Linked DNA regions of Ovis aries. The protein of the gene in region 3 interacts with the protein of the main gene of each other region in a pairwise test. Links are inferred from orthologs where the notes say so. Each region holds a gene or a part of one and is shown on either strand. Other genes may lie near its edges.

What was found.
Region 1: the proteins of SMARCE1 (region 3) and CDR2 interact in binary tests that used the Homo sapiens proteins (3 or more experiments, as listed by UniProt). The two-hybrid records come from large-scale screens. The link is inferred for Ovis aries from reciprocal best matches to the Homo sapiens genes SMARCE1 and CDR2.
Region 2: the proteins of SMARCE1 (region 3) and RALBP1 interact in binary tests that used the Homo sapiens proteins (3 or more experiments, as listed by UniProt). The two-hybrid records come from large-scale screens. The link is inferred for Ovis aries from reciprocal best matches to the Homo sapiens genes SMARCE1 and RALBP1.

The regions. Positions count from the first base shown.
Region 1 is NC_056077.1:20,559,466-20,562,089, reverse strand, and holds part of CDR2 (cerebellar degeneration-related protein 2), read left to right. Parts: intron 1-826; coding exon 827-975; intron 976-1,232; coding exon 1,233-1,397; intron 1,398-2,464; coding exon 2,465-2,624.
Region 2 is NC_056076.1:42,133,070-42,136,797, reverse strand, and holds part of RALBP1 (ralA-binding protein 1), read right to left. Parts: intron 1,321-3,728; 5' UTR 1,268-1,320; coding exon 1,024-1,267; intron 1-1,023. UniProt on the Homo sapiens protein: Multifunctional protein that functions as a downstream effector of RALA and RALB. As a GTPase-activating protein/GAP can inactivate CDC42 and RAC1 by stimulating their GTPase activity.
Region 3 is NC_056064.1:40,602,566-40,606,858, reverse strand, and holds the start of SMARCE1 (SWI/SNF-related matrix-associated actin-dependent regulator of chromatin subfamily E member 1), read left to right. Parts: upstream 1-1,493; 5' UTR 1,494-1,538; intron 1,539-3,740; 5' UTR 3,741-3,785; coding exon 3,786-3,792; intron 3,793-3,968; coding exon 3,969-4,012; intron 4,013-4,293. UniProt on the Homo sapiens protein: Involved in transcriptional activation and repression of select genes by chromatin remodeling (alteration of DNA-nucleosome topology).

The sequences.
Region 1 (2,624 bases), on a different chromosome or scaffold from region 3:
CTTAAACTTTGATGATGTGTTCCAAGCGTTTTCTCTTGTGGGATTATCATATCTTGCCTAGATTTTCCTGTCAAATATTAATTTTATGTGTGTTTTGTGCTTTATAAAAGTAGACCAGCCTAAACTGTATTGGTGAGCTTTAGGGGAACTAAACATATAAAGGACGGCCTGTACTCAGCTCCTTTTAAGAAAAGTAGTTTAACTGAGATTTGAAGTTCTTCATTTCGTAAAATAAACTTGTGGTATTGTGGTATAATGAAAACTATATATTCGACCTTTGTCCCCATGTCCTGAATCCCTCGGAATTTCCTGAATGATAGAATGAGACTGCTCACCAGAGGAGCCGACCACATGATTAGAGGGTTAGAACTTTCAGCCCCGTTGCCAGCCTCTGCAGAGGGGTCAGGGACTGGAATCAAGTTTGTTCACCAGTGGCCCATGATTTAATTAATCATGCCTGTGCCATGAAGCTTCAGTAAAACTCTAAAAGGAGACCAAGAGGTTTCCAGGGAGGGTGGTGCATCTGAGAATAAAACTGTAAGTAAATCCCTTTCCCAAGCTCTGTGTGTTGTTTTAGCAGATTATTGAATGTGAGAGGAGGTCATGGGAATTCCCTAATTTATAGTTGTTTGGTTGAAAGGACGGGTGGTCCCTAGGACTTACCTCTGGTACCTGAATTGGGGGCAGTTTTGTGGAACTGAGCCCTTATCACTCCAGGTGGTGTCAGAATTGAAGTGAATTGCAGGATGCATTCTGTATTATACCTGGAATACTGCAGGTATCCCACATGTTTAATGTGTAACCTGGTCACAATTATCTCTTCCAGTATCTGACCAAGCAGGTGGAGCTTCTGCGGCAGATGAATGAACAGCATGCAAAGGTTTATGAGCAATTAGACGTCACAGCGAGGGAACTGGAAGAAACAAATCAAAAGCTCGTTGCTGACAGCAAGGCCTCACAGCAAAAGATTCTGAGGTAAATTCTTTAGAATCTGTTGAAGAAGCCCTAGGGGAAGTCATTTAGTATAAACTAGAATAGAACATGGCTGTAGTGGGTTCAGGTCAGTGTGGGGTAAGCTTTAATTTAATTCTCTATGGAGAATAGAGATTAAATAGAAGTCTTTTCCAATTACAAAAGCCCAGTTTGAGTGGTTGCCAACTAAGCTCTCCTCACTGCTTATGCCTTTAATTTAATATGACAAGCTGCAATTGGCTTCTGTCTGTTCCTCACAGTCTGACTGAAACGATTGAATGCCTGCAAATGAACATTGATCACCTCCAGAGCCAAGTGGAGGAGCTGAAATCATCCAGCCAAAGGAGAAGGAGCCAGGGGAGGCATGACCAGGAGAAATCGGCCCCCAGCTTCTCGTCTTTGAAAGAGCTGTATGACCTCCGCCAGTAAGAGCCCACCTTCCATTTGCAAGCAGGAGAACATCTCGTGTCATTGGCACATTCTGGATCCCAGTAGATTAAAAGTACCCTTTTAGGAAATGCCGCTTGGCTATTAGACCACCAGTGGTTTGAACAAAACCACTTAAACATACATGTGATAGTTTTTGTTGTTGTTGTTGTTGTTTAGTCCAATTGAAATTTCAGTAAAACAAAATCCAGGCAAACAGAAGGCTTTTTTTTTTTTTTTTTTTTTCCTGAAGAAAAGCCTTTTACAATTTAGACTTTGGAGATTGAATCTTCATTTAAGAACTATTTCTTGAACACCTGTGGTAAGGCAGGTGCTATGCCAGATGTGAGGAGTGGTGAGCAAAACAGACACAGTTTCTGCCCTCATGGAGCTTTCAGTCTCAGGAAGAGGCAGGTAGCAAATAAGTACAGTTACAAGTTGCCCAGGACTCTGACCAGGAGAGAGACCAGCTCGTGCATTTGGTGGGCCTCAACTTGACTGTTCAGATCGCCATCAGGCCTAATCAGAATCTCTAGGTATGAGTGAAAGGCTATTCAGGTGATTCTGATGTCTGTCTGTTCTTGGTTTAAAATCACCGCAGCAATGGTTCTCAGTCTTAGCTGCATATTATGAATCATAGGAAGAGCTTTAAAAAATACACACCCTCTAGTTCATGTGGCAGACCAGCTAGGTCAGCATCTGTGGGGGTGGGACCCAGGCGTCAGTATGTTTTAGGACTGCCCAGGTGATTCTAATCTGCAGCCAAGATTGAGCACCACTGGCTGTTCTGATCTCCTTGAACAGTCTCAGTCATACTACTGGTCTTTGGGAATGGATGTTCTATAGCATTTTTAATGTTTTAAAAAAAAATTAATTACACAAGATGTGTGTTCCTCCATGTGTTGTCAGCCTCACACATTCGTTTTAGCCGCTGCTCTAGGGTGGAATAGGCAAAAAATCAGTCATATCACAGCTCCTCAAAAATATGTAGTTGGAAAAAAATCATCAGCCTCCCTCTTTGCCTTCTCAGTCGGCCTGTGTAAGAGTCTTTCAATATTTCCCCCAGGCACTTCGTGTACGATCATGTGTTTGCCGAGAAGATCACTTCCTTACCAAGTCAGCAAAGCCCCGATGAGGAAGAAAATGAGCATTTGAAGAAAACAGTGACAATGCTGCAGGCCCAGCTGAGCCTGGAGCGGCAGAAGCGGGTGACCATGGAGGAGGAA
Region 2 (3,728 bases), on a different chromosome or scaffold from region 3:
TTATTTCAAATTATTTGGAAAGAATCCCACCATCAGACACAACATTCCTGCACAGTCGGAAGAACATCCTCTAACCTACACTTCTCTTAGCTTAGGTTTTTCTATTTGGTGCCTGGAATCTGAAGCCATCTCCAGTCACAATTGGAGATGCAGGACTGTGTAGGTGATCTTTTCCTCCCCACCGCATCTGGCTCCCGGGTCTCTGGCTGGTAAGTTCCTTCTGGGGCAGCAGCACGGATGGAGCTTCCTCTGCGGAGGACCAACCAGGAAACCCCTAACCTCGAGTGTCAGCCATGCCCGAGTCAGAAGCCTGGGTTTCACACTGACAGCTACTCAATATCAGAGCTGCCCTAGTTTGGCTTCCTTGTTTTTTGGGTTTTTTTTAAACATCTAAAACTCTCCTGTTCTTTTCTTTACCCTAATATCTTACAAGCTAAAATAGAAATTAATAATAGAGATTCTATAACAGAGATTAAAGGTACTGCATAAATTTCCCTCTAGTTAAAATACCACGAACTCCACACCAACCAGAATGGCAAAAGAACATGATACTGGGGTGGCCAAAAAGTTCATTTGAGTTTTTCTGTAACATTGTACAGGAAAACCTGAACTTTCCGGCCAACCCAATAATAGAAAGCTATCATCCTCCCTACAGAACAGGAATCCCATATGGGCGTGTCGTGGCCTCTGCTTAAGAAAACAAATACACTATCTTTTACTATGTGCCCCAACTGGCCTACACAACCTCACCAAGACAGTGAGACTCCATAAGCACAAAATTTCAACAATTATTTTTCATACATTATTTTAAAAAACCAACTTAAGAAACCTCCACCAGAAAACTTTACCACTTCTGGAAATTCAGTATTTTTACTTGCAACAGTAAGACCCTAAAATACAAAAACTGAGACCCTGAAAAGAAAATATAAAGCAGGAGTCCCTGGATATAGGATGGCAGGTACACGTGACTAGAGCAGATATTTATCTAGAGTAAAGCCACAGCACAGAGGAAACGGCACTTACTCCTTTTTTCCTTTTTCTTGAACTTTCCTTTCTTCTTCCCATGGTCCTTCTCATCGTCAGACACTACATCGGGAGGCTCGTGGAGGCTGTCGTGGGGGGGTGAGGGCTCGCCCGTGCGGTACAGCCCGGGAAACTTGGTGGGGCTGATCTCCTCGGAGCTGGGGGTGCGTGTGAGCCCGCCGCCATGCTCCACCCTGCGGTGCTCACTGGGGCTGCTGGTGGGGGGCAGGAAGCACTCGGTCATGCTGCCTCCCTGATGACAGCGAGCAGGGCTTCTCGGTCACCTATCCATCACACCTGCGGGAGACAGAGCATCACGATCACCTGGTGGCCACCAGCACCCAGGAGCAGCAGACAGACACACAGCTCGGCAAACCCCCCTCAAGAACCGTCGCTGGTTTTGTCATCTTGAGTTGCATTTGTGCCTCACACATGCACGTCAGTTCTCAAAAAGCTGAAAGCACTGGATCTTCAAGTGTGAGGAAAATTAACCAAATGAAAGGACATAGGACATCAAGGCAGGGCAGAGTTTCTCCCAAAAAGAGCCCACCGCTGTAAGAGGTTTCATTTCGATTGCTATCCAACAGAAACCTTAATTTTTCTTAAGTTATGACCAAACAACCATGAGTAACAAGACTCTTTATATAACTACACATGAACAGTTCAGTGTCATTAGTAAAATTTACAAAACAGTGACAGATGTAGTGACTCACACAGGTTCAGATCATTAGCTGCAGTTACATACTGCAGTAGGCAATCCACGTGTTGATACAGCTAACAGAGGGAGAAACTCACTTGCTCATTCCTAAACTGCACACAAAACAGTTTTGCTAGAATGGACACCACAAAGGACAAATGTGGATAAATACCAAGGTTCTACTGTGCAGCACAGGAACTGTACTCAATATCATGTGATAAACCAGAACGGAAAGTATGAAAAAGAATATATATGCCTGGGTATATGTGTATAACTGAACCACGGTGCTGCACAGCAATAATTAACACAACTTTGTAATCCAGCTATATTTCAATAATAAAAATTTTTTAAGAAATAATAAAAAGGTACAAATGTAAGAAAAGCTCAAGATCTGTTCACATTTTTCTTCTTCATTACACAACGGTACACAGTTTAAGTACCATGCTCAAAAGTGAATTATGTTAGTTCTTACTCCTCTTTAATGTTTTTATAATATTCATCTGAAAAACTACCAGAATCACTTGTTTCTCTTTGCACTGATTTAAGGCACAAAGTGAAGAGGAACTAAAAAGCCTCTTGATGAGAGTGAAAGAGGAGAGTGAAAATGTTGGCTTAAAGCTCAACATTCAGAAAACGAAGACCATGGCATCTGGTCCCATCACTTCATGGGAAATAGATGGGAAACAGTGTCAGACTTTATTTTTTGGGCTCCAAAATCACTGCAGACAGTGATTGCAGCCATGAAATTAAAAGACGCTTACTCCTTGAAAGGAAAGTTATGACCAACCTAGATAACATATTGGAAAGCAGAGACATTACTTTGCCAACAAAGGTTCGTCTAGTCAAGGCTATGGTTTTCCCAGTAGTCATGTATGGATGTTAAGAGTTGGACTGTGAAGAAAGCTGAGTGCCGAAGAACTGATGCTTTTGAACTGTGGTGTTGGAAAAGACTCTTGAGAGTCCCTTGGACTGCAAGGAGATCCAACCAGTCCATTCTAAAGGAGATCAGTCCTGGGTGTTCTTTGGAAGGAATGATGCTAAAGCTGAAACTCCAGTACTTTGGCCACCTGATGCGAAGAGTTGAATCATTGGAAAAGACTGATGCTGGGAGGGATTGGGGGCAGGAGGAGAAGGGGACAACAGAGGATGAGATGGCTGGATGGCATCAGCGACTCGATGGATGTGAATTTGAGTGAACGCAGGGAGTTGGTGATGGACGGGGAGGCCTGGCGTGATGCAATTCAGGGGGTCGCAAAGAGTCGGACACGACTGAGCAACTGAACTGAACTGAAGGTGATTTTGAAATTTTAAAAACACACAAATACAAGTGATAACTGATAAATCTGACCATAAACAAAGTCAAAAGACAAGCAAATGTGAAAAAAAAGTGTAAATTATGACAGCGAACTTTTCTAAAAAGCAGAGTTCTCACAAATCAATGAAAATTTCAGCATAGCAAGAATGTGAAGCAGTTCACAGGAAAATGACTAATATCCACATGAAAATAACATTCAAGTACAATTGCAATTTTTAAGAACATAAGACGGTAAGTTAGAATTTTTATAACATCAGACTGGCAAAGAACAAAAAAGGGTCTATAATATACCAAGTGCTGGTAAGGGTGTGAATATCCACTAAGGGAGAATATCCACCAACAGCTGAAGTATAAACCAGCACAGTCTTTTCTGAAAAGCAACTTGGCAAAATCTATCAAAGTTTTAAATGTGCTCTCTTTGATCTAAGAATTCCTCTTTTTAGGAACTTATCCTTCAGACATCCTTTTATAAGCACTCAAAGATGTGCACATGAAAATAATCATTTTAGCACTGTGAAAGCAAAGACAGCAAAATCTAAATGGCTATCAATGAAAGACACATTGAATTAGGCTTGATCCAAATAATGGAACATAAAGTCACACACAAGCCATCTCTGACACAGTAAACCATTGTTAAGTCTCCGAAGCTGTGAAAGAGGAGGGAGAGAAAGATCTCCTTTTATTTTGAGCCTT
Region 3 (4,293 bases):
AGGCTGCCCATTATCCTTTGATGACCTCTTTTCCCTTTCATATGCTCTTTAGTTTCACTAATCTCTAATCATGAACATGAAAATATTGGAGGTGGAAGAACTGGACAGAGGGTCACTTGTCCCTGGCTTTGCATACTTCTGGAGATACCCTAGTCCCTGCTGGCACACCCAGGATGGTGGCTAAGGGTAGCTGAAGAATCAAGTCATTCTAAACGTCAACACCATTCTCAAGTGATTTCAGATCCTTCCCCTCTCTGCAGTGGCGCACGTCGGTCAAGTGTTTATGTATCCAAGGAGAGGCTGCTATCTAGTACATCAACGTGGTCATGATTTAGTGAAAAGAGTCCTGGACTAGACCATAGCCTGCCTCAATATAGATTTACTGAGCTTCTTACAATGGTTCAAGGCCTTACTGGGCACTGGCTATAGGAAGATGACCAATGCAGACCGCTGAATTTTTGCTTTCAAGGCTCTCATAGAGTACTGAGAATAACAAACACAGTCTGATACAATGTATTAGGTAAAGGCCATAATTGTTAATTTGGGAGGAGGAGGGGCGCGTGAGGCAGGGAGTTCCCGGAGGGCATCAGGGACAGAATTTGAGCTGGATCCGGAAGGACAGATGAGTTTAAACCCAAAAGTGAAGGACTGTCGTTCCTGGCAGAGGAAACCGAATGAGCCAAGGCGCTTTAGGACACAGACCCCTTGCCCAGCGCTGCAGGGACACACAACCGGGGGCAAGGAGATTTACATCTCCGGGCCTTGGCTCAGAAACCTGTGACAATTACACCAGCCTTGCGCTTGGGAACAGCTGGGAAGATCTGCGCTGCTTTCGCCAAAGCTCTTGCCCGCGGTTAAGGCAGGAAGCCCTGGGAGGCGCGCAGGAGGACGGAAACTGTAAACCCGGCTCTCCACGCCTCCATCCTCGGCTTGGTGAAGTATATACACTCCAGCTCCCAGAGAAAGAGTCAAGAAAAAGACCGGAAGGGAAAAAAAACCCAGAAACTCTCGGGGGCAGGGACGGGGGGCGTGCGCGGCCTGAGCCCGGCCGGGGTGGTGCGCGGGCCGCGCGGCCACAGAGGTTCCGGGGCTGGCGACCGGGCGCGCTCCCCGCCGCCTTCCGGCCCCGCGCGGGGAAGCTGAGGCCGCGCTCGCGCCCCCCCTCGGCTCAGCCTCGCGCCTCCCGCCGCGCCTCCCGTCCCCGCTCCGGCTCGCTGGGGGCCGCGCGGCCGGGCCTACCCGCGGCCGGGCCACCTCCTCCCTCTCCGGAGTGACGAATCGGCGCCCGGCTGGCAAAGTACTGACTTTCGGGGAGTTTTGAGGAGCGTATGGAGCCTGAAAAAAATCCTTGACTGTGCTAAACACCACCGCGTCCCCACGAGAACGCTTATTTTCCTGAAGAGAGTCGGGTGGGGCCTGGAAAGGAATTAAGAAGAGTGTTGAAAGTGCGAGCGCGGAAGCTCGGGACGCGAGGGGCGGGGCGTGCGCGGGACAAAGGGAAGCGAGGCCGGAGCTGCGGGCGCTTCTTCTGCCCGCGGGTGAGTGTTTCCGACTGGGCCCGGCTGGGTCGGGAGGGTGGAGAGGCGTGGGGTCCCGGCTTGGCTGGGGTTGCTGAGGGTTGCTGGGGTTCAGGCTTGGCCGCGGGACCAGGGCCGGGGGCCGGCTGCGGCCTCTTTGAGGCCTAGCGGAGCGAGGGTGGGGAGAGAGTCCCATCTGGGGCTCCTCTTGGGCGGCCAGAAGTGCCCCTTCCACTAACCCCACGGAAGTGGTCAAGGCGCTTCTGCATGCTCCTCTTCAGTAGAGTAGCTGGTAAAGTGCACCTACACATCAAACCAAACCGAATCGGTCTCAGAGGAAGCCCTTGGGGCAAGCTAAGCCCGTGGTCCTCACCCCCAGGAAGATGGTTTCCCCTTGCCCAGGCAGCGATCTGAGGACTCACGGTGTGGCTTGGAGTGAAAAGCGAAAGCTGGGCAACAGTTTGGCCTGGGTTTGAAACCCAGCTCTGACACTTCCTGACTCTGTGTCTTGAGCCAAGTTACTTATACTGAACGAGACTCCTTTTTTCCCTCTGTAAAATGGCAATAGCAGTACACACCTCGTTGGTAGTGTGACTGTTAAACCAGATGGTGTGAAAGTAGTAAGCCTGTCCCGTATAAGGTATTCAACAAATAACTTCTCCAGGATTTTATGCCAGGCACCGGAGATGCATACAGTGGTGGACAATTGTACGAGATCACTCTTGAAATTTATGGTATAGCAAAAGAGACCAGTAATTTTAGAGTGTTAATAAAATGTGACACACCTGGGAGCTTGTGGCAGATATTATCAGGGCCCCCCACAGCAAGGCCTACTGGATGTTGACAGCCCACCCAAGCTTGAGCAGGAAGGAAATCTGCATTAGACTCTGGTGTCCTGCATGTACCTTAAGGAGAGAGGGAGACCCAGGTTGGGCCATTGAGAAAATAAATGATTTCTTTCTTTCCACACCAGGCCTCTTACTCATAATGCTCCAGAAATGCCCTTAAAATACAAAACAGGAGCAAAAAAAAAATCATGTTTGTTTCTCATAATGTCGGATGAAAATACTCTAGTAGTCATAGAAGTTATTTGCCTTTTTTGTGAAAATGAATGTTCATCTCTTTGTACACATGGTGTGTAATGTATAGTGAGGTAAGGAACAAGTTCACGTGTGTGTGGTCATGTCCTGAGCTAGTGTTACTAGGACTGAAGTTGGTAAAAATTGAGCTAGGTACTGGGACAGCAATAATGAACTAGCTGGTCCCTGTCTCCATTCAGCCCCCATATTAGCAGGTGTAATATGATATTGATCTGTGTAAATTGGAGTACAAATGAGGAAACATTTAATTTTGTACAGATAGGTCCAGAAGTCTCCATTGAGGAGATATATTTTGAGTTGAGCTAAGAAAGATCAATAAGAGTTTTTTCCAGTAGACTCTCGAAATTTATTCCCAGCGGTTATGAAGCTGTTTACCATCATGTTGTTTTTTAGTGGCTCAGTTGTGTCTGACTCTTGCGACCCCATGGACTATAGGGTACCAGGCTCCTCTCTCCATGGGATTCCCCAAGGGAGAATACTGGAGTGGGTTCCCATTTCCTTCTCCAGGAGATCTTCCCAACCCCGGGATTGAACTCAAGTCTTCTGCGTTGGCAGGCGGGTTCTTTTACCGCTGAGCCACCAGGGAAGCTCCATTACTCCTATAAGAGAATGTGAAGTTTCTTGTCACACCAGTTACCTTTTCCACTGCCTTCAGGAGTAAAATGCTGTTTTACTAGAAAGAAGTTGTTATCCTAAAAGGAAGGCAGAGCTGTGGCTGGTCATGGAGCTGTCAGTGTCTGGTAGGCCTTGTTGAGGTAGGCCCCAATAATACATCATATTCTTTTGTCATTGTATTTTTACCGATTTGATTAAATGTTTACATGGCATCAGCGAAACGTTTTCCATACAAGAGGTGGCTCAGTATCAAAAAAAAACAAAAACTTGCAAGTACATGTCTAATTTTACTTTTTAATATCCCCTGTCATTTGTTTTAGTCATTTAATTCTGATCAACTGAGTGACCTAAAGAACTAGTAAAATATTTAAAAGGCTTGATTACTAGAAGATAATGTAATTTTACAAAGAAATATCAAACTACCCTATTCTTTAGAAAAACATTCTCTTATGCTTGCTGAGTTTTGATTATCTTTATTTTTCTTTTTTTTTCCTTTTTTTTATTTTAGTGTCTCAGATTCATTCTTAAGGAACTGAGAACTTAATCTTCCAAAATGTCAAGTAAGTTTCATTTTTTATATTTATCAATCTATATTAATAAGAGACTAATGCCCTAGCAAATGGGAATTCCAAAATACTCTCATTTTTTTTTCTTCAAAACAGGACCATTGGTAGTTTTGTTGCATAGTATTATATCTCAGTTGTTTACAAGAAGTTATTTATTTTCTTTCAAACAGAAAGACCATCTTATGCCCCACCTCCCACCCCAGCTCCTGCAACAGTAAGTTTTAATTTTCTTGTTAATGTAATAGCCAAGTCTGGCCTTGATACAAAAACCCAGATGTCTTCCAGTGACAGTCACTCAATCATTACAGCAACAGGATGAAAAATTCAGCTAAAAAACAGCACTTCCTACTAAATAAAATAACTCTGCATCTTACCTTGAACCAACCCCAACATTTAAAGAAACATACTACTGAAATGCCAACCTCCTATGCTCAGTTCTTTTTTTAATTAGAAATAAGTGGCAAGTTTAACACTTTTCTTGTTCATCTCTATTAA